Struthio camelus: one gene and its partners. The protein of the gene in region 1 interacts with the protein of each later gene in a pairwise test. Links are inferred from orthologs where the notes say so. Each region holds a gene or a part of one and is shown in the gene's direction. Other genes may lie near its edges.

Region 1 (6,979 bases):
TTCAGAGGAGTCTAAATTCCTTCCAGTCAGCTCCTACAGGAATGCCTCTCCTTCTCTACATTGACTAACAAGGTCACCTAGGAAGAGCAACTGGCTAAATCAGCTGCCTGGAACTAGGTTCTTAAGTCGGTATATACCACAGCTTTTAGGCAATTTGAGTTAATCTTTCAGTGGAACAAACCCCAACTTTTATGTAATACTGTAATCAATGTTTCTGTTGTTAAATTTGAAAATAAATTCAGTTCAATGTAAGAAATAATGCAGATGCAAATTTTTAAGTTTTCCAAATATGCATGCTAATGTTCTTCTCCAAGAGACTTTGCCTATTGACAAAACTGTGCCAGAGTCTATCTGCCCCCAAGAAAGTTACACAAGATAGAAATATACACCACAAAATGAAAACAAACATATTGGAAAACTGCATTAAGGTAAAAACACTGCACAAGGAAACACTAAGTCAATTTTGACTTCTACACACGGTAGCATTAAGTACCTATTTCTGTAAAGCCACATTAGCCCACCTACTTTCTGCTGATGTTGTAACACAGGACAGACAACTACAATTCAGATGTTTTCCCAATCCCTTTCTGTTAATGATTCAGCTTTATGGTGACGGGTGGGGAGGGAGGAAATCACATTGAAACTTCCCCTCTATGCTCCTTTTTAAAAAAAAAAAAATTACTGCAATGTGCTACATGAATGGTTTGAAGCACTTCCAGCAACATACTGGATTTGCCTATGTTGGGATGACTGGCAGTAGTTTAAAAGATATTTCCATCTGGGCTAGATTGCAACACCCATCCGCATGCTGAGCATACCTTATTCAACAATTAGTTTCCCTGACTCTAACTCAACATGAATAAGAGCAATGGAATCCATCCTCAGTATTAAAATATAGCTCATTAAGTATGAATGGAGCAAAAATACTCATTGAATAATAAACTAGTGTCATAAAAACCCTTCAAGTATTACTACTGTTTCTACAACAATCTTCTACTTTGACAGTTCTTAACCTTCTGAAATATAGGTATAGCTTCTTCCACAGTTTCCAGCACTTAGACCCTCTCTCTTTACCTTAACAGAAGTCCAATGTTTAAACTTTACAGTGCACAACTTACATACGTGGCAATATTTCAGGGAGAAAGAAGCAGCAAGTTTCTCAGAGATCCACTCCTCTGGTCTTCATCTTTGTGGCAAAATGTGTTGGCACGTTCTCAGAATTTTAAGTCCTTTGTTTCTCACTTTTCCAAAACACCTTCTGGGCCCTCTGCCTACAGAAAGAATTCTGTTAATTTCAGGTAGAGAAACTCCCAATCAGTTATTTTCCCAATCTTCATCCTCTGAAAAAGAGAATTAAATCAATTACTATAGATAACCGAAGTTCTTTTTGTGCATATGCTGCTTCTGCTGAGGGTGTGCACATGCTCACGCATGTGACCTCAGGGACTTTGTTAACAATACCTGTACATCGTGTATAGGATGAGTGTCCATGTATGCTCCTCAGCATAAGCAGTACAATCTGCTTCCCCCGTCTCAGCTTCCTTTCCACTACACCCTGAAAAAAAAAGGAGATGAAGGACGAAACGTGCAACAGGTATATAGCACCATTTAAAGTAACCATAAGAATCTGCTTCCTCTGCTGAATGCGTGCTCATATGCACACCCCTGCAGGTGTAATTCCACAGCAATGCCCAATCCATCCAGATCCAGGATCTGGGAGGCTTAGAAGAGCCATAGAAACACCAGTACTGAAATAGAGCATCCAAATCAAAAGCTTTGGAGAGACCTAATCTCTACTGAAATGATGAGTAACAGCCACAGTGGCTTCCAGACAGACACTTAACAGTAGCATGTTTCTAAATTCCGCCATAAGCACGATCTAAGGCTGCACAAATGGGGCCCTTGCTGTTGCCTAGTCTCAAAATGAGGAATTCATTAAAATACCTAGGGGAAGACCATGCTGTCCTTCATCCTCTCCACTATGGCCACCCTAAGTTGAGAAGAACACCTGTGGGTTTTGTTCTTTGCAAAGACTCTCAGACTCACAATACAATGCAGCCTCTTTCTGGACCAATCCATCTTTGGGAAGAATACTGGAAAGTGAATGTTGGTTTTGGTAGCGACCGTGGGGGATGAGTCTTCAAAGGCACCTTCAGTAGAAGAACACTCCATGCAAACTATACCATCTGGTCATGGCTCTCTCTCCTGACTTTTTCACCTAGGTGACAAACCGAGATATGCTTTTACTAACCCATGTCTTGGGACACATGCATGCTGCCACAGGTTGAAAGAAGAGACTCCCTAGAGCGTGCAAGCGCTAGACTGCATTGCATTGGCAGTTACTTGAAGTCTTTGTGTATCACTTGTCCAAGTCCCAGCCTTTGTTACTGCTTTGCCCAAGGTAACCATTATTTGCACAAGTCCCAGAATGCCTTTTTCTGGGGTCAAGTATAATCTAGAAACACACTTAAAGTGGCAGAATATCCTACAATGCTGTGTAAACATCACGTAGAATTACCTTTTCCACAAATGAAACAAGTAAGCTACAGAGAGATGAAGTGTCTTGAGCCAAGTAACGTGGCCAGCGCCAAAACCAAGCCTTGATACCCAATGTACGCGTTTAGCTGTTATAGCATATAACTATTTCTCACTTATACTTAATATGCATTACTGTATTATTTTCAATACAAATTGTTTTTACGGTGTTTTAGCTGTTCAGGAGAGATTTTTCAGAACAGCAAAAGCTGTTCATTCCTTCTGGATCAAAGAAACCTCTGTAACAACAGCGGAGGGTTTCCACAAGGTTGCTACTCTGCCTCTCAGAGCAGCTGGCAGATACACTTCTCAGTGTGTTAGGGTGGTCAATAGCTGATCTCATTGGGACGTATCACTTTTCAGCATTGGATACGGTGAAACAACAAAGTTGTACAGAGTCCAAAATATCTACTTTTTCCTTTAAATAAAAATTTGATCTTTGGGGAGTAACGATAGGACGTGACTAACAGTTATCTCTGCCTGTACGTGAAGACGTGTAAGCAAGTAGACCACGGGGACTGCAGACTGGGAAACCAAATCACGTAACTAGCAATGAACACACCGTTACAATGACCCGTCTGAAAAGTCACAGGCGCAGGAACTGAGGACTAGGTCACCAGTTGATATTTTACCTTTACAGACCCTTCTAAGCTGCCCTTTAGCCCATTGAGGCCAGAGCTTTGCCTTCGATTTTAAATAAGTCAGATTTTCAGCAGCCTCTGTAAGGGCAGAGTGGAGATTAATCTTAGCCCATGGCAGATAAAAACACCCGTAACTATTTTAATCATTAAGTTAATGAAATCACGCAGCTGAATTGCTGGAGTGCTTCCACACCACAAAAAGAGCTCAATTTCTCGGCTCGAGCGATATTCCCAAAACAGCGCAAACACTCTAGCAAGACCTGAGAGACGTTACCCCCCCCCCACCCCCCCAAAACACGTCCCGTGTCTCTAGGGCCGCGGCTCTGCCATCGCCGAGTTACCTGAAAACAACGCACCCTTACCGCGCAAGCAACCCGGGCCGTCACCACCTCAGCCAGCCTCCGTCTCTTCCCGGGCCGCGGAGCAAACGCGACGGTCTAAGTCCGTTAACGCCCGGGGAAAGCGGGCCTCGACGGGCCTCGCCGACGGGCGCACCGACCGCGGGGCCCAGCGCCCCCCGGCGGCCGCCGCCCGCTCTCGCCGCGCCTGCCTGCACCGAGGGGCGGGCGGCGGGGCGTTAAAACCACACGCGTTTGACACCGCCCGGCCCCCGGGATGGGGGGGGGGGGGGAGCCGCGGCCCCCTCCCCGCCCCGCCCCGTCCCGCCGCGCCGCGCCGCCCGGGGGGCTCCGGCATAAATACGGCCCCGAGCGGCGCTGCCGGACCGGCGCGGCGCGGCGGCGGAGGGGCGGGCGGCGGCAGCGCTGGTGGCCTCGCCTGGCAGAGGGGAGCCGCGGGGCTCCGCTCCGCGCCGCGCGCGCCGCCACCGGCCGTCAACGGCCGTCAACGGCCCGAGCGCGCTTTCCCGCCCTCGGCCCCGGGCGGCGCCGCCGCCGCCCCCATGGACTTACTGGGCCCCATGGAGATGACGGAGGGCTCCCTCTGCTCCTTCTCGGCCGCCGACGACTTCTACGACGACCCCTGCTTCAACACGTCGGACATGCACTTCTTCGAGGACCTGGACCCGCGGCTGGTGCACGTCGGGGGCCTGCTGAAGCCCGAGGAGCACCCGCACCACCACGGGCACCACCACGGGCACCCGCACGAGGAGGAGCACGTGCGGGCGCCCAGCGGGCACCACCAGGCCGGCCGCTGCCTGCTCTGGGCCTGCAAGGCCTGCAAGAGGAAGACCACCAACGCCGACCGCCGCAAGGCGGCCACCATGAGGGAGCGGCGGCGCCTCAGCAAGGTCAACGAGGCCTTCGAGACCCTCAAGCGCTGCACCTCCACCAACCCCAACCAGCGCCTGCCCAAGGTGGAGATCCTCCGCAACGCCATCCGCTACATCGAGAGCCTGCAGGCGCTGCTGCGCGAGCAGGAGGACGCCTACTACCCGGTGCTGGAGCACTACAGCGGCGAGTCGGACGCCTCCAGCCCCCGCTCCAACTGCTCCGATGGCATGGTGAGTGCCCCCGCCGGCGGACAAAGTCCCCTTCTGCGCCTCCACCTCCGGCGGCCAAGGGCGGTGGGGTCCCCCCACGCCAGCGCCCCTGGAAGAGAAGGGAGAAGTCTCTCAGGCGCTCCTTCCTGGGGATGAGAAGTTGGGCAGGTTTCCCTGGGTCCCGGGGAAAGCTGCTGGGGGACCGCTCTGGGAAGGGCGCCGGGAGCGCCGAGAGGTGCGAGTCCTGCCCGCGCTCCCGGGGCATCTCCGTTTCCATCTCCTGTACCCTTAGCCCTGCGTCCCCTAGGGACAGCTGTGAGGGAGGTCCCCCCTGCCATGATAACTGCAGGGGAAAACTCACAGGGGAACTGCTAAGTCTGGGTTTTCTTTTCTGACATTAGTCCTGATAAGAGGAGCACGGTCTGAGCAACAGGAGTTGCTTTTCTTGACCGTTATGAAAAAGGTTCTCCCCCCTCAAGACATTTACCAGCAACAGGAAGGAGACCCCAGGCTTTCACCTCTGTTTGTGCATTATGGGGAGAGGGGAGAAGAAGAGCGAGTGCCAGAGAGGGTGTCTCGTCACCTAATTTCTTTCTTGGGACTATAGTTTTAGACTCCGTGGCCTGACTCGAGGATGGTGGGATGTGGTGACTGGAGTACAGGATAGCTGAGATGAGAACCACAAGAGCACTTTTAAGACTTCCTGAGTTGGCTATGTTCTCTGGTGGGGATAATTATTACTGAGCTGAATATCTGGGATTGTGAGATAGCTGGCAGATCGGGGAGAAAATTTACACAACTGATCCCTCCTCAAAATACAGCCTTTTTTCTCCTCTCGGTAAGAGCCATGTAACTGTGGGTGGAAGTACCAGAAACAAAAATACTGGTCAGAATGCTTGCTTTTTTTTCTCTATACAAAGTAATAGTGGGGAGAGAAACCAAAGGAAATAAAAAGGCACAAAGGTGGACTAGTGGGTTTTTTAAAGGAATTCATGCTTGGAAAAGTCTTCAGAAATTAAACTGAAAAAAGACTTTTCCCCCCTTGGTCTCCCTGCTGCAATTCGAAGGGCAACCTCTGATTAGAACGCTGGAAGACTTCACTTCATTTGAAAAGCTACAGCATTAGTACATTAGTTACAACAATGGTAATTTTCCTTTAAAATAACTATGCCACATAATACATTCTGGGGGGAATTTCTTCCTAGCAAAGTTAAGCTCTGCCTCATTCAAAAAAACTAAAACTTGGTGGTGTTTCAGCCAGGACTAGAGAGCTATGGCACAGACTAGGGTCTGAAGTGTGAAGTTAAATAGTTACTGGGGAGGAAATATTTGAGGAAAATGCTGTCCCCCCACTGGTGATCTCACGCAGATTTCTCTCCTTTCCAGATGGAATACAGTGGGCCTCCTTGCAACTCCCGCAGAAGAAACAGCTACGACAACAGCTACTACACGGAATCACCAAATGGTGAGTATTTGCAGTAACGGCAACGTGAAACATAGGGGTAGAGACGGTCAGCGCAGCAGACTTGCCTGTGCCTTCTCTGTCCCCGGTTGTTTAGCAGACTCCGGCTGGGCTTTTCAGCCAGCGAGCTGTCGATGCTAGTACATGTATAGCATTTCCCTCTAGATGCCTTTGCAAATATGGGAATATAGTATAGTGGCATTTCCTACTTTGCAAACATAGTGTCTGGATAAAAACATATTGGAATATATTCCAACAGTTTTCAGAGTTTAACTACATTTTGCATAAGGATTGTTCCAACCGGATATCACTGATCCAAACCATGGAGAAATTGCCAATTGAATTCAAATCTTCCATTCCCTTTCTATGGACTGAAGTGAAGCCCTGCACCCATCCTCTTGAAAAGTATCATACCTCAGTTGGGCCTTTTTTCCCATTCTGCAAATTATAGTCTCTGTTTTCTGATAACTGGCATCTTTCACCAATATTCCTTTCCTCAATCTTAATATGCTCACAGATATGCCCTGTCAGCCACTGGTTGGGGTTCTCTGAAAAAACTACAGCCTACTGACATTAAATACCCATTGACTAAATTGATCACCTCTTCTGTCTGTCTTTAGATCCAAAGCATGGGAAGAGTTCTGTTGTTTCTAGCCTTGATTGCCTCTCAAGCATTGTGGAGAGGATTTCCACAGATAACTCCACATGTCCAGTCCTGCCCGCAGTGGAAAGCGTTGCTGAAGGGAGTCCCTGTTCCCCCTCCGAAGGAGCCAACCTGAATGAGAGTGGAGTCCAAATTCCTTCCCCCACCAACTGCACCCCGCTTCCCCAGGATAACAGCAGCAACCCTATCTACCAAGTGCTATAAAGGCAAGTCCAGCTGGACTGCAGTGAAAACAA
Region 2 (6,639 bases), on another chromosome or scaffold:
GTGTCAATGGTTTGGAAATGGGCCAATTTTAACAGATTTTTTTACTCTAGTTTGATGGCTTAAATACATGGCAATTAAACCCATTGACATTATTACTAGATGTTTTAGATAAATAAATTTCATTAAAAGCATAGGATACGATGCACGCAAGAACTTGCAGGCCCTTCAGAGGGAGAAGGATAATCGACTCGGGCGTGCTGGGGTTGAGAACCCCATTTTCCCAGGATTCGTGTCAAGCGCACAAAGCCACAACCTGGAGTATTATGCAATCCAGATGCTCTCCCTAGAAAATCCTACCGTGCAAAAAAAAAAAAAAGGTTTTTTTTTTTTCCCCAAGTGTATTTTCTTCCCCTTTTGCAGAAACGCACGTTTTCTCTCAAAGGGAAAACGAGGCAGCCGGAGGGGGGCATTCCCCCTCCGCCACCCGCGGAGGGCCGGGCCGGGGCTCCCGGGGCGGCCGCGGCCCTTCCCGCAGCGCTGCGCGGGCGCGGGCGGCGCCGAGGGCCGGGCGCGGCGGGGAAGCCCGGGCCGGAGCCGAGCGGCGCGTCCATCTGGGCGCGCTTTTTATTTTTTCCCTCTTTTTGCGGAACGGCGCGGCGGGGCGGCGGCGCGGAGCCCAGCTCGCACGGCCGGGGGGGGAGGGGGGAGGGGGGAGGTGGTGTCCGGCCGCTGCCCCCGCTGCAGGTGCGCCCGGGAGGGGGAAGCGGGGCCCGGCCGCGCCGCCTCCCGCCGCCCCGGGCTCAGCCCCGGTCGCCATGGCAGCCGCCTGAGCGGCGCCGCCGGGCCCGGGCGGCGCGGGCGGGGGGAGCGGCGGCGAGGGGCTGATGTCACGGGGCTGGCGCCGCGCAGTCCGGCCCGGCCCGGCCCGGGCGCGGGGCGGCGGGGCGGGGCGCGGAGCGGAGCGCCGCGCCGCGGAGGGGAGGGCAGGGCAGGGCAGGGCAGGGCAGGGCAGGGGGGGCGCCGCCGCCGCCGCCGCCGCCGCCGCCGCCGCGGCCTGGCGCCGGGGCCCCCCACGGCGGGGGCGGCCGCTGCCCCCCGGGCGGGGCGGGGCGGGGCGGAGCGGGGCCCCCGCGCCCCGCGTTGGTGCCGCTTGGCGGCGGCGCGGCGCTGGGGGGGGGGGGGGAGGGAGGGCGAGGAGGAGAAACGGCGCTTTGTGCGCTGCCAGCGGCGATGGTTTCCTACCAGATGTTTGCAGCAGCCTTTCGGGGTTGGGAATTGGCTATAAAAGTCCAGGCTGAAAACTAGAGGCGGACGTCCGTCCTGGGGGGACTGGCGCCGGAGGGCCGTGCCGGTGCCCGCTGGGGCCGCGCTTGGAGCTGCCCCTGAAGAGCAGCGCAAAGCCGTGGTGCGGTGGCTTCTGCGACTCCCTCCAGAAAACATCAGCCTCCTCGCATAGCTCCTTGTCAGGGGCCGCACCACTTACAAAACGCAGGGCTGCTAGAACAGTTTGCATTACGTGCGTTAGAGAGCAAAGAGAGTCGTTTTCAGAGCGAGCAACCCACTGCAAAACCTTTCAAGGTTAAAAGAACGCAAGGAAGGGAATGAAATTTTACGGAAAAAAGAAAAATCTGCCTTTAGGAGACCTGGAGTTTACACATGCACAAATTGTACTTTCCACGCAGAAGGAGCGCGTTACAATCATCTGACAGCCGAGAAAATGATCACGTTAGCCGCTCTGCATATAACTCCTCACTATTCTAAAAAGTGTGTTAAGCCCTTAGCATGGAAAAATGAAACCAGTTGCAAACACGTCCTTTGCAAAGACTAGAAGGACGTTACTGTAACATTGTTTCACTGTCCAAGAATGACAAATAATGATGGAAGAAGCATGAACATACTTGTTTACATTGGCTATTATTATGCCAAAAATAGTGTCAAAATAAAATTTCTTCCACTGGTGCATTCATGAGACAGAAATACAAACACGCTGAAGGGCTAAAACCTGTGGCAGCAAAGCGAGTGGCAGATATGATTTAAATGGAGATTTTAGTGAGGTAAAGTACAAAAGAATTAAAGCTGCTGTAAAGCGGGTTATTTTAATCAAGTTGCTAATTGACAGGGTGGTTTTTATTATTATTTACGCTCTTTAACTGCACTTGAACAACGTGTTTGTCTTCCTATCAGATTGAACGTAGAGATTCACTTTCACCCTTCACATCTCAAAATGACTGAATTGTGTTCCTGTCAGCCTCAGCACCGCCTACCGTCCACCCTCCGATAAAAGCCCTGGGGCAAATAAGCTTGTGTTACGGCCACCAAAATGTCCTGTTAGAGAACAGCAAAACACCAGCTAAGGAATGCAACATTAATTGGAGAAAAACATCCACCGATCTCCATAGAGCTTTTTCTCCGAGGGTCCGTAACGTTCCTCCCCCACAGCCCCAATTCGTTTAGTGTAGCTATGCAACAACAGCACAGATAAATCCAGTATTTGTCTGCTTTTAATAGTCACGATAGGCAGTACAATCTTAACTGATTTTATAGATGTCATGTCTACGCTGTTGTTTGAAATAAAGAACAAGGCACTTTAAGCATTCAGGAGGTTATTACAGAATTGCTGTGTGTTGAGTAGAATACCATGCATATTAATCGTGTATGGAAATGTACGCTTTTCTAAGTTTAAGTCATGTGAAAAGATGGGGGGGGGGAGGACATTGGCATGTTGCAGAGCAGTTGGTATGAGCAAAATACAGAGAAATGCAATTGACCTAAGCTTGAAAAAAAATCTAAATCATTTCTCCAGTTAAACAAAACCCCCAACTTTTTCCTCTGGAATGTTTCTGGAAGATGTTTCATTGGCTGCAACCAAAAGCCGCAAAAAGTACAGCGTGCAGTAAGTGTTCACATTTGTCACCAGAAACAATCTATGCATAATTAATTACGGTAACATGTCACACGCACTGATAGGATGCAGATGAACAGCCTTTCAAGGGTAATACATGCAAATGTACTTTCAATATGCACATTTGCCTAATGATCTCCAATTAATAGCATCATTTAAAATAGCCCTGTCCTCAGGAAACGGCAAGCAAACAGTGACTTCTTAGTCTGTCAGGGCTCTGTGAGCTGCCAGCCTTGTAGCAGTGTCCTGTCGTCAGAGAAGAAAGTTCCCGTTGATTGTATATGTTTATTTGTCTTTACGTTTCACACTTAGATCTGCCTACATCTGGAGCCTACAGCGCTCTGCTACTGAGCCTGCCCATTGATGTACGCAGCCGTATTTTCAAACAGGCACTCTGAAGAGTTGCTTGGTACTCTAATTCAAAGGGACTTTCAGGACGTCTCAGCCTTCGCCGACACCTTGTTGTGGCAGTAACTCTCACCTAGCTGTATCACGTTGTCCACACAGACTGCTTACAGCAACGCATTCCTCTCTCCTTCAGCGTCTGCCCTTAATAATCTGCGCACACTCACCCCAGCCTCTCTTTCTCAGCCTTTACCCTTGCAGCATTTTTTTATTCCTACTTTAACTCTGCAAAACAGAGAGGAGAATAGTCGGGGGGGATGTCTTTTATACCAGCGGGAGAAGCACAGAGGGAGAGGGCTGAGGGATTTTGTGACCGAACTCCGAGCTCCGCAACCGCAATGTGAAAATGCCCGTTTCATCCCCCCCTAAGCGCCTTTGCAAAACGCTCGCTGCGAGGCCGGGCTCGGCATCTACTGTACAGTATTTACTACCCTCAGCTGTGCCGGGCGCAGCCACACCTCCCTCCCCACATTGGCTCTCAACGCGGAAGGCCCGAGCAGCCGCTCCGCTCCCATTTGTACCAGTGAGAGCGTCTCGGGGCCTGATGGACATGCCGGTCGCCTCCAATGGCAGCGAGCACAGGCTGGATTTGGCAGCTCCTGCGCCTGCGGTATAAAAGCCGGCACGGGCAGGCGAGCGCTTCATTCTGCGCTCCGGCAGCTGCGAGGCAGAGGGAAGGCAGGCAGGCAGGCAGGCAGGCGAGCGGGCGGAGAGCGAGCTCCCACAGTGTTTCTGTGCGCTGGAACCGCTCTCTCCGTCCGTCCTTCAGCATGAAAGCTTTCAGTCCTGTGAGATCTGTCAGGAAAAACAGCCTCTCGGAGCACAACCTAGGCATATCCCGGAGCAAAACCCCCGTGGATGATCCTATGAGTCTGCTGTACAACATGAATGACTGCTACTCCAAACTGAAAGAGCTAGTGCCCAGCATCCCTCAGAACAAGAAAGTGAGCAAGATGGAAATCCTGCAGCACGTTATCGACTACATTCTGGACCTGCAGATCGCCTTAGATTCACATCCCAGTATTGTCAGTCTGCATCACCAGAGACCCGGACAAAATCCTTCTTCCAGAACTCCTCTGACCACCTTAAACACAGACATCAGCATCCTGTCGTTACAGGTAAGTGGCCTCCCTGCAGCTACCCCCTCTCTGTCCATTGACCTAGATACGGTATTTTAAGTCAGTGTTCGAACTGTCTTGAGCGCAGAACGCGGCCACCCCGAGCAATGGTTACTGAAGAAACAGCACTACATTAAAACGTACGGAAACTCCAACAAAACTGCCACTACCTCTGCTAGCCATCGTTGTGAGTTTCTCTCAAAACATGTCATGAGCGAAGAACTTCACGACCCAGAGTACTTTTTCTGCTTTTTCGACTGCTAAGGCATTTAACGCTGCTCTGTTTTGTTGTATTTTCTGCTTGCAGGCATCTGAATTCCCCTCAGAACTAATGTCAAATGACAGCAAAGCACTTTGTGGCTAAATCAAACGGTGAGTAAAGGGAATCTTATTTTTAACCTTCAGATGAAAGTGCTTCCATTTAGAATGGAAAAATTCTGTTTATGAGGCTGTTGCTGTCTGAAAGAAGTCTATCCTAAAAGCTGATTAGGAGATGCCTTTTATAACCAGCAATCCAACCATAAAATTTAGACTAATAATCGAGCCTGATAGTCCAAAGTATATTTTGGTCTCTAAGAATAATTAAGCAGCCCGGACTGAGTGCTCTGATACTACTCACCGCTTAATGCCAATTCTCTGGTTATCTGTTCCCGAAGTCTTAACTTCCCAGGCCAGAGTGACTGATTAAGTTGGGAATCTTGGCACAATTTCTTAAATTTTGTCATGTGGGATTGTCTACACTATCAGTTAAATAAATGACTGCTTTTTATCAAATAATTGCTGTAAGAGGCAGACTGGCGCCTCTGAGCAGTGCATTTACAGAGATCTAAATAGAGATTGGACTGAGAATCCTCTTTCTGTCCTTTCCCTTGAGTGTATGTTATTTTAATGTTCAATTTGAGCTCTTGAGAGTGAGTGTGTGAGCGTGTATGTGTTGCATCTGGACGCCAGGGTTTGCCCAATCTTTGAGTGTTTGGTTAAATGTTCAAACTGTGGCTTCCTCTCTGGCGCCAGTCTGTCCGGATCTCTGCCCTGTTAGCATTCTCCTAAATACGCCTCTTTTCAATCTTTTGCAGGTGTTCCACTGATGAGATTTTTTTTTTTTTTTTTGCACAAGAAGATGTCTACAGGATTTTTTTTTTTTTTGAGGTGCTGAATTTATTTTTCAGCTGTATCTGGAGGGGGAATCCACATCTAACTGTAAAAGGACCTTTTAAAATTAATAAAGAAGAAAAATCAAGATTGATCTTTATCCCCACCCCATTCTTCAACTTGGACTGAACCTAGTTATTTATGAAGAGACTCTTAAATACCCTTTCCCTAGTTGGAAGGCTTCCTTTATATACTATTCCCAACGTGGGGAGCGAAACAAAATCTCACGAGGAGTTGCCCCTTTTAAGCAGACTTTGCCTTTTTTTTCCAAAGGTGGAGCGTGAGTACCAGAAGGATCCAGTGTTCAGTTTTTTAGGAAAGTCTACGGTCAGAAATTACCTTTTTTGACACAAACCTAGGACTGAATGCTGTGTATATATTTATATATAAATATATATATATGAGTGAAACCTTGTGAACTCTTTAATTAGAGTTTTCTTGTATAGTGGCAGAAATGTAAATTTCTGCAAAAAGTGTAATGATGTACTTAATCATGCTAAACTTTTTATAAAAGTTTAGTTGTAAACTTAACCCTTTTTATACAAAATAAATCAAGTGTGTTTATTGAACTGATTGCTTGCTTTTATTCTTTGGGGACCAGCGGTTTGTGGCTTTGATTTGTTTTTTAAATACTTATACATTCTGTTATGATTTTACTGAGTAAAAGTTCAAGTATGTAGAGAACATAAAGAATAAAATTACCTATAGTGAATAATAATTCTTGTAACCTGGAAAATCTTATTTGAGTGTATATTTCAAACTGCTGGATGATTTGCTGATAAACAGTGTGAAAGGAACTAGTGAAGTAATTTATTACAGAGGGGATGCTATTGACAAAGTGTTGGGAAACACACACAAAAGCAGTTAATCCATAGACATTCCCCCAGAGTGTGACTTTTTTTTTTTTTTTTTTTAACCCCAACGGATGATTCACTTTCAGTTCTCAGTAGCAATGCCCCAGATCTGTTAATATGTGTTTAGATTAATCACTCAGAATTAAAGGGTTGTGGGTGGTTATTAGTTCCCCAACTATTAAATTTCTGTAAAAAAGGCTTTGACTACAAGAGTTGGTGATGCGTTAACATGGGATCCAGAATGATGAAGTGACTGTTGCCTTTCCAC
Region 3 (6,061 bases), on another chromosome or scaffold:
GGGCTTTCTCAGGCCTCGGCCCTGCTCCAGCTGCGCGGCAGGAGCCGCCGGCCCCGCTCGCATCTGCGGCACCGCTCGCCCGCCGGCCCTGCGGCGCCCGGGGCCGAGGCCGGGGCTTCCCCGGCGCCCCGCTGCGCCCGGCCGGGCCGAGGGCGGCAGGACGAGCCCGAGCCTGGGCCAGAGCCGGGGCAGGGGCCGCGCCGGGCGGCCGGGGCGCGCTGCCCTCCCCGAGCGCCCGGCCTTTGCTGCGGGCGGCTGCCGGGCAACCTCTGCGCCGCGCAAAGCAGCCGCGACGTGCCGGGCCGGGCCGGGCCGGCGGCTCAGCCGCGTGCCAGCGCCATATGGCCGAGCCGGTGTTACCGCGCCGCCCGCCCCGTTCCCAGAATTGACATGGAAATGAAGCTATCCGTCTTGCTGGCCGACGCGGCCGGCCCGGCCGCCTTTCCCGCGGCCAGCGCGCCCGCCCCGGCCTCGCCACCACCTCTCGGATTTTCCCTGCGGCCGGCACGGCGCAGAGGAAGGGCCCTCGGCCGCCGCCGCCCCGGAGCAGCCGGCCCCGGGAGCGGGACGGGGGCCGGAGCAGCCGCCGTGGCCCCTGCGGCTCGGTGCTCCCTGCGCGCGGGCCCGGCCGGAGCGGCGCGCCGGGGCGGCCGCCAGCCCGGGGGCCGGGCTTGACCTTTCGGCCTCGGGGCCCCGAGCTTTGACATCTGGCTAATTCGCGCCGAGCGGCCGGCGGGGGATCTGAGGCGGCCGGAGGCGGCGAGCGGGGCCGGCGGCGGCGGCGCATTGTTGGCGGCGCAGCTGCGGGCGGCGGCGCTGAAAGGCATTCCTGCACACAATGTCCCGCGCGCCTCCGTGCGCGGGGGCCGCCGCCGCCAGATGGGGGCTAATTAGCGGCTTTGATTGCCTCTGTGGGAACCGGCCAGGCACCAGGCTCTCCGCGGGGCCCTGAATGGAGGGGGCGACCCCAGGGCTGTGCCCACCCTGGGAACCGCCACCGCCGGCGCCACCGCGGGCGGGGGGGCGCGGGGACAGAGGGAGGGCGAGGTGAAGGGATGCAGGGACAGATGGGTGCAGGGACAGAGGGATGCAGGGACAGAGGGATGCAGGGAGGGGGGCATAGAGGGCGAGAGAGGTGAAGGGATGCAGGGAGAGAGGGATGCAGGGATGCAGGGACAAGGATGCAAGGACAAAGGGATAGAGGGATGGACGGAGGGGGCATGGAGGGCAGGACAGATGCAGGGATGGAGGGACAGAGGGATGGAGGGATGTGGTCCCCCCAGATGGCCCGGCACAGGCTGAGCCAGAGACCGCAGGGTTTATGCAACCCAGAGGTTATGCACCCCGCGCTGGGGCCCTGCGTGCCCCGTGCCGGAGCGTTGCGCGCCCCGCGCCCTTGCAGCTTGCTCCCGCGCCGCTGCCGCTGCAGTGCCCTGCTGCGGCCGCGGCGAGCCCGGGTGACGAGGGCCCCGGGTGGCGAGCCGCGGGGCAGGGGCGCGCAGGCTGGCACCGCGCTGTCCGGGCGCCCCAGCCCCGCGCCGGCTTTGTTCGCCGCAGAGGCCGTCGCTGCTTCCTGCTGCCGCTAACAAAGCTGCGGCGCAGCCGGCCCCGCGGCCCCACGCGGGCAGGGGCAGGGGAGCTGCTCCCGCTCGCCCGGCACACGCGGGCACGCCACGGGGGGGGGGGGGGGGGAGTGTGTGTGCACGTGTGTGTGTGCGCACCGCTGGATTTGTGCATGTGCGTGAATGTGTGTGCGCGTGCACACGTTTGTGCGTGGCCGTGCACCAGGGCGCCTGGGCGCGCAGGCGTGTGCGCGTGCCTCGGCGTGTGCATCCGGGCGCGTGTACAGGGCACAAGGGCTGCCACTTTGCCTGGAGATTTTTCAGTTGCTTTCGCGCTGTTTCATGCCGTTTGGGGGTGGAGAGGGGCCGGGGGGGGCCTCTGCAGCACGGCTGGGGGGAAGACTGGGGCGGCTGCGCCAGGCGGCCCCGGCTGCCCGCTCGGCGCGCCGACAGCCCTGCGAGCAGCCACGGTGCGCGAGCGGCGTGGAGCCGGCCGGGCGGCAGGCGGGGGCCGGGACCCCGCGGGGGCTGCTGCGCGATGCGCGGCTGGCGAGGCTGCGGTCCAGGGCGCCGCTGCCTCCTGCCCCGGCCCCGTCATTCCTGTCTAGCCGAGACCCTGGATGAACCTCCCTACAGGTGCGAAGATAAGGTAACGATCATTAATGCTAATTAATGCTTGGATCGGAAGCCCTTTAGGGCAGGGACTGGTTTTCTGTTCCGTCTTACGCTGTGCCTTGCACGAGAGGCTGCAGCTGCGCAGATGCTACCTCCTCGCCCGGCCTGGCCTCCTGCCGGCCCCGCACCGCCCGTGCCGCGCGCCGCCGTCGGCCTGCCCCGCACGAGTCGCCTTTGCCGGGGGCTCAGCCCCGGGCACAGCCGCCGCGGCCCCGCGGCTCAGCAGGCGGCACGCGGCGGGGCCTGGGCACCAGCGCCCCACGGGGCCACCCGCCTGGGGCGGCAGAGCTGCGCCCAAGCGCTGGCGGGGCCCCAGCTGCCAGGTGACTCCCACGCTCTGGGGCAAGGAGGCACCCTGCGCCGGGAGGGCAGCGCTGCCCTGCACCTGCAGCCTGCACCGAGCGAGCGTGGCACAGCCCTGGCATGGCACGGCACGGCTGTGGGCACAGCATAGCCCCAGGCGCAGCACAGCCCCAGGGATGGCCATAGGCATGGCTCGGCTGTGGCATGGCACAGCACAGCCATGGGTACGGCACAGCCCCGGGCATGGCACAGCCCTGGGCACGGCCATGGGCACAGCACGGCCATGGGTAGGACACAGCTCCGGGCACGGCACGGCCCTGGGCACGGCCATGGGCACAGTACAGCCATGGGCACGGCACAGCCCCGGGCACGGCACAGCCCTGGGCACGGCCATGGGCACAGCACGGCCATGGGTACGGCACAGCCCCGGGCATGGCACAGCTCTGGGCACAGCCACGGGCACAGCACGGCCATGGGCACGACACAGCCCCGGGCACGGCACAGCCCTGGGCACGGCCATGGGCACAGCACGGCCATGGGTACCGCACAGCTCCGGGCACGGCACGGCCCTGGGCACGGTATGGCGCAGCCATGGCACGGTGCCGCACGGCCCCGGGCACGGCACGGCCACGCAGGACGGCGTAGCGGACCTCCCGCCCCAGCTCCGCGTTTGCAGCCGCTGCACAAAGATGGGTCGGGGGAGCGGGGGCGCCCCCCGGCACCCAGCCGGGCCCGGCACGGCCCCGCGGCGGCTCCCGCTGAACCCGGGGCCGGGAGCGCTGCGGGGGGGCCCGAGCCCCGCCGCCCGCCGCGCCCCGCCCCCGTCGCCATGGGCACCGCCCGCGAGGCGCCGCGCTGACAGCGCGCGGGGTTTTATGAATGGGTGACGTCACGGCCCTGGCGTCTAACGGTCTGAGCCGCCGGGGAGGCGGGGGGGCCGCAAGGGGCGAGCTGGGCTGCGGGGGGCCCGGGAGGGGTGCGGGGGCTGGGGAGTGCAGGGGACCCTGGGGCTGGGGAGAGATATGGGGTACAGGGGCCGGAGTGCAGGGGGCGGGGAATGCAGGGACCTGGGGGCTGCAGTGCATCCGGGGTGCAGGGCCAGGGGTGCAGGGGCTCTCCCGGGGCTGGGGAGAGCCATGGGGTGCAGGGGCCAGAGTGCAGGGGGTGGGGAATGCAGGGACCTGGGGGATGCAGTGGGTCGGGGATGCAGGAGTTGGGGGGTGCAGGGGACCTCGGTGCTGGGGAGAGCCATGGGCTGCAGGGACTGAGTGCAGGGGGCCGTGGGTGCAGGGAGCTGGGGCTGCAGGGGGCCTGGGGGATGTTGGCCCTGGTGGGTGCAGGGCCCCGGGGGCTGGGGAGAGCCATGGGCTGCAGGGGCCGGGGGGGTAGGGATTGGGGAATACAGGGACCTGGGGGATGCAGTGGGTCGGGGGTGCAGGGGACCTCGGTGCTGGGGAGAGCCATGGGCTGCAGAGGGCCCGGGGGCTGCAGCGGGCCTGGGGGGCTGAAGGAGGGCGAGCTGGGCTCTGGGCCCGGGGTGGTGCAGGGGTCCGCGGGCTGGAGGGGCCCAGCTGGAGAGGAGCCCAGGGGGGTCTCAGGGTCCCGGGGGCGGCCGTAGTAGGCTGTAGCCGGGCGTTTGGAGGCACCTCTGCCGCAGCAGCTCTGCTACCAGGGCCGAGCTCCAGGAACGCAGAGTAACTCAGCCCCATGAACGGGGGGCCAGGGCCCGGGGCCCGTGGCGGGGAAAGGTGTCCGCGCAGGCGGTGCGCCCCAGTGCTCCGTGCCCCGGTGGCCCCCGGTGACCCCCGGGCAGCGGCCCGACCTTCCCCCCCCCGCCCCCCCGCCAAGCCTCTACCCGCTCCTCCCCGGGGCAGCGCCACTGTCTCTTTAACACAGTCCCCTTCAGGGCTCATGAATGGGGGGGGGGGCGGGGCAGGCCCCGCCCTGCGGCGCTCCTATTGGCCACAGCCCGGCCCCGCGGCCCCGCCCCCGGCCGCAGCGCTCTATAAGTGGCGCGGCGCGGGGCGGCGGGAGTGCAGCGCTTCGCTCCGCGCCCGCAGGGTCCTGCTGCCGCCGGTCGCTGCCCGCCGCTCCATGAAGGTCGCCAGCGCCGCCCCCTCGCCGCTGCCCGCGGGCGCCGGCGGCGCGCTGAAGGCGGTGCGGCCCGGGGAGGCCGCGCGGTGCGGGCCGGGCCCGGGGGCGGCGACCGCCGCGGCCCCGGGGGCGGCGGAGCAAGCGGCGGCCGCCGCCGCGCTGCTCTACGACATGAAGGGCTGCTACTCGCGGCTGCGGGCGCTGGTGCCCACGCTGCCGCGGCACCGGCGCGTCTCCAAGGTGGAGATCCTGCAGCACGTTATCGACTACATCTGGGACCTGCAGCTGGCGCTGCAGCGGGGGCCGCCCTGCGCCGCCGCCCCCGGCGGGGACCCCCCCGAGGTGAGTGCGGCCCCGGCTCCGCTCCCCTTCCCGGTCGCTTTCACACCCCTCTCGCTCCGGGTGAACCCGCCGGGCCCCCCAGCGCCGCCGCCGTCCTCCCCGGCGGGTTGCACCTCCCTGTGGGCGCCCCTTCCACCTGCGGCAGCTCAGCAGCCCCCAGCCGGGGCCGCTCTCCCCTGCCGCCCTGCTCCCCCGGGGCTCCCGAAGCCAGCACTGACCGGCCCCCTGTCGCCCTTCCCGCAGGCTCCGTGCATGCCCGCTGCGGACCGGATCCTGTGCCGCTGAGACCTGCTCCGGACCTGCCAGGACCCGGCCCGGGCCCGGAGGGGGTGGCAGCCCGCGCCCCCCGCCGTGGGACTGTGCCGAGGGCGGCCCCGCGGCACGTATCCTTCTCAGATTGCTGAGAGCATTCCCTGTATTGTATATTACAATGATGCTGGAGAATATTGTTCTACAATAGTTGGAGTTTTGTTATTAAACAAGCCCTGGTTACGAGGCACGCTTCTCTCTTCTGGCCCTGTCCGCCCACGGAGCGCGAAGGCGGTGGGAGCCCTTCGTGGGCAGGGTGCCCCGTGGGGTGTGGGAGCCCTGGGGTCTGGGAAGCAGCCCAGCTCTGCTGATCCCCTGCCTGGATACTGCCCTGTACCCCCACCCCACCCCGTTCCCCTGTGTCTGTGCCCCTTGGGGCTGCAGATGGGGGGATGCTGCTGGGGTTTCTCCCCTTGGCCCTGTGGGCAGGCACACCCTGCATGTTGGTGGGAGGGGGCCAGGTCTGGGGCTTTGCCCCCCCACCTGGGTGCCTCTGGGGCTGGCCCTGCACCCTGGGCGTCCCTGTGCCCTCCCTGATGAGCCCTGTGGTGCTGGTGCAGCCAGGTGCCAGCCCAGACTGGCTTCCCCAGGGCTGGTGCTGCCCCATGGCGTGTGCCGAGCAGCATGGGCCTGGCCTTGCACAATTTCCCAGCTGGGCCAGTGCAGTGGTTCAGTGACTCGTGCAAAGTCACTGTGAGTCACTGCCTTTTGGCCCAGCTGGGAGGCTTGTGGCTATGGGGGGGGGGCCCAGCTGTGTGGGGCAGCCCCTCGCATAC

The links.
Region 2: the proteins of MYOD1 (region 1) and ID2 interact in a two-hybrid assay, tested with the Homo sapiens proteins (2 studies listed by BioGRID). The link is inferred for Struthio camelus from reciprocal best matches to the Homo sapiens genes MYOD1 and ID2.
Region 3: the proteins of MYOD1 (region 1) and ID1 interact in a two-hybrid assay, tested with the Homo sapiens proteins (5 studies listed by BioGRID). The link is inferred for Struthio camelus from reciprocal best matches to the Homo sapiens genes MYOD1 and ID1.

The regions. Positions count from the first base shown.
Region 1 is NC_090946.1:20,186,324-20,193,302, reverse strand, and holds the start of MYOD1 (myoblast determination protein 1), read left to right. Parts: upstream 1-3,904; 5' UTR 3,905-4,077; coding exon 4,078-4,638; intron 4,639-6,003; coding exon 6,004-6,082; intron 6,083-6,699; coding exon 6,700-6,947; 3' UTR 6,948-6,979. UniProt on the Homo sapiens protein: Acts as a transcriptional activator that promotes transcription of muscle-specific target genes and plays a role in muscle differentiation. Together with MYF5 and MYOG, co-occupies muscle-specific gene promoter core region during myogenesis.
Region 2 is NC_090944.1:25,477,754-25,484,392, reverse strand, and holds ID2 (DNA-binding protein inhibitor ID-2), read left to right. Parts: upstream 1-3,880; 5' UTR 3,881-4,017; coding exon 4,018-4,365; intron 4,366-4,672; coding exon 4,673-4,729; 3' UTR 4,730-4,737; intron 4,738-5,441; 3' UTR 5,442-6,086; downstream 6,087-6,639. UniProt on the Homo sapiens protein: Transcriptional regulator (lacking a basic DNA binding domain) which negatively regulates the basic helix-loop-helix (bHLH) transcription factors by forming heterodimers and inhibiting their DNA binding and transcriptional activity.
Region 3 is NC_090959.1:18,479,620-18,485,680, forward strand, and holds ID1 (DNA-binding protein inhibitor ID-1), read left to right. Parts: upstream 1-4,595; 5' UTR 4,596-4,634; coding exon 4,635-4,976; intron 4,977-5,219; coding exon 5,220-5,261; 3' UTR 5,262-5,473; downstream 5,474-6,061. UniProt on the Homo sapiens protein: Transcriptional regulator (lacking a basic DNA binding domain) which negatively regulates the basic helix-loop-helix (bHLH) transcription factors by forming heterodimers and inhibiting their DNA binding and transcriptional activity.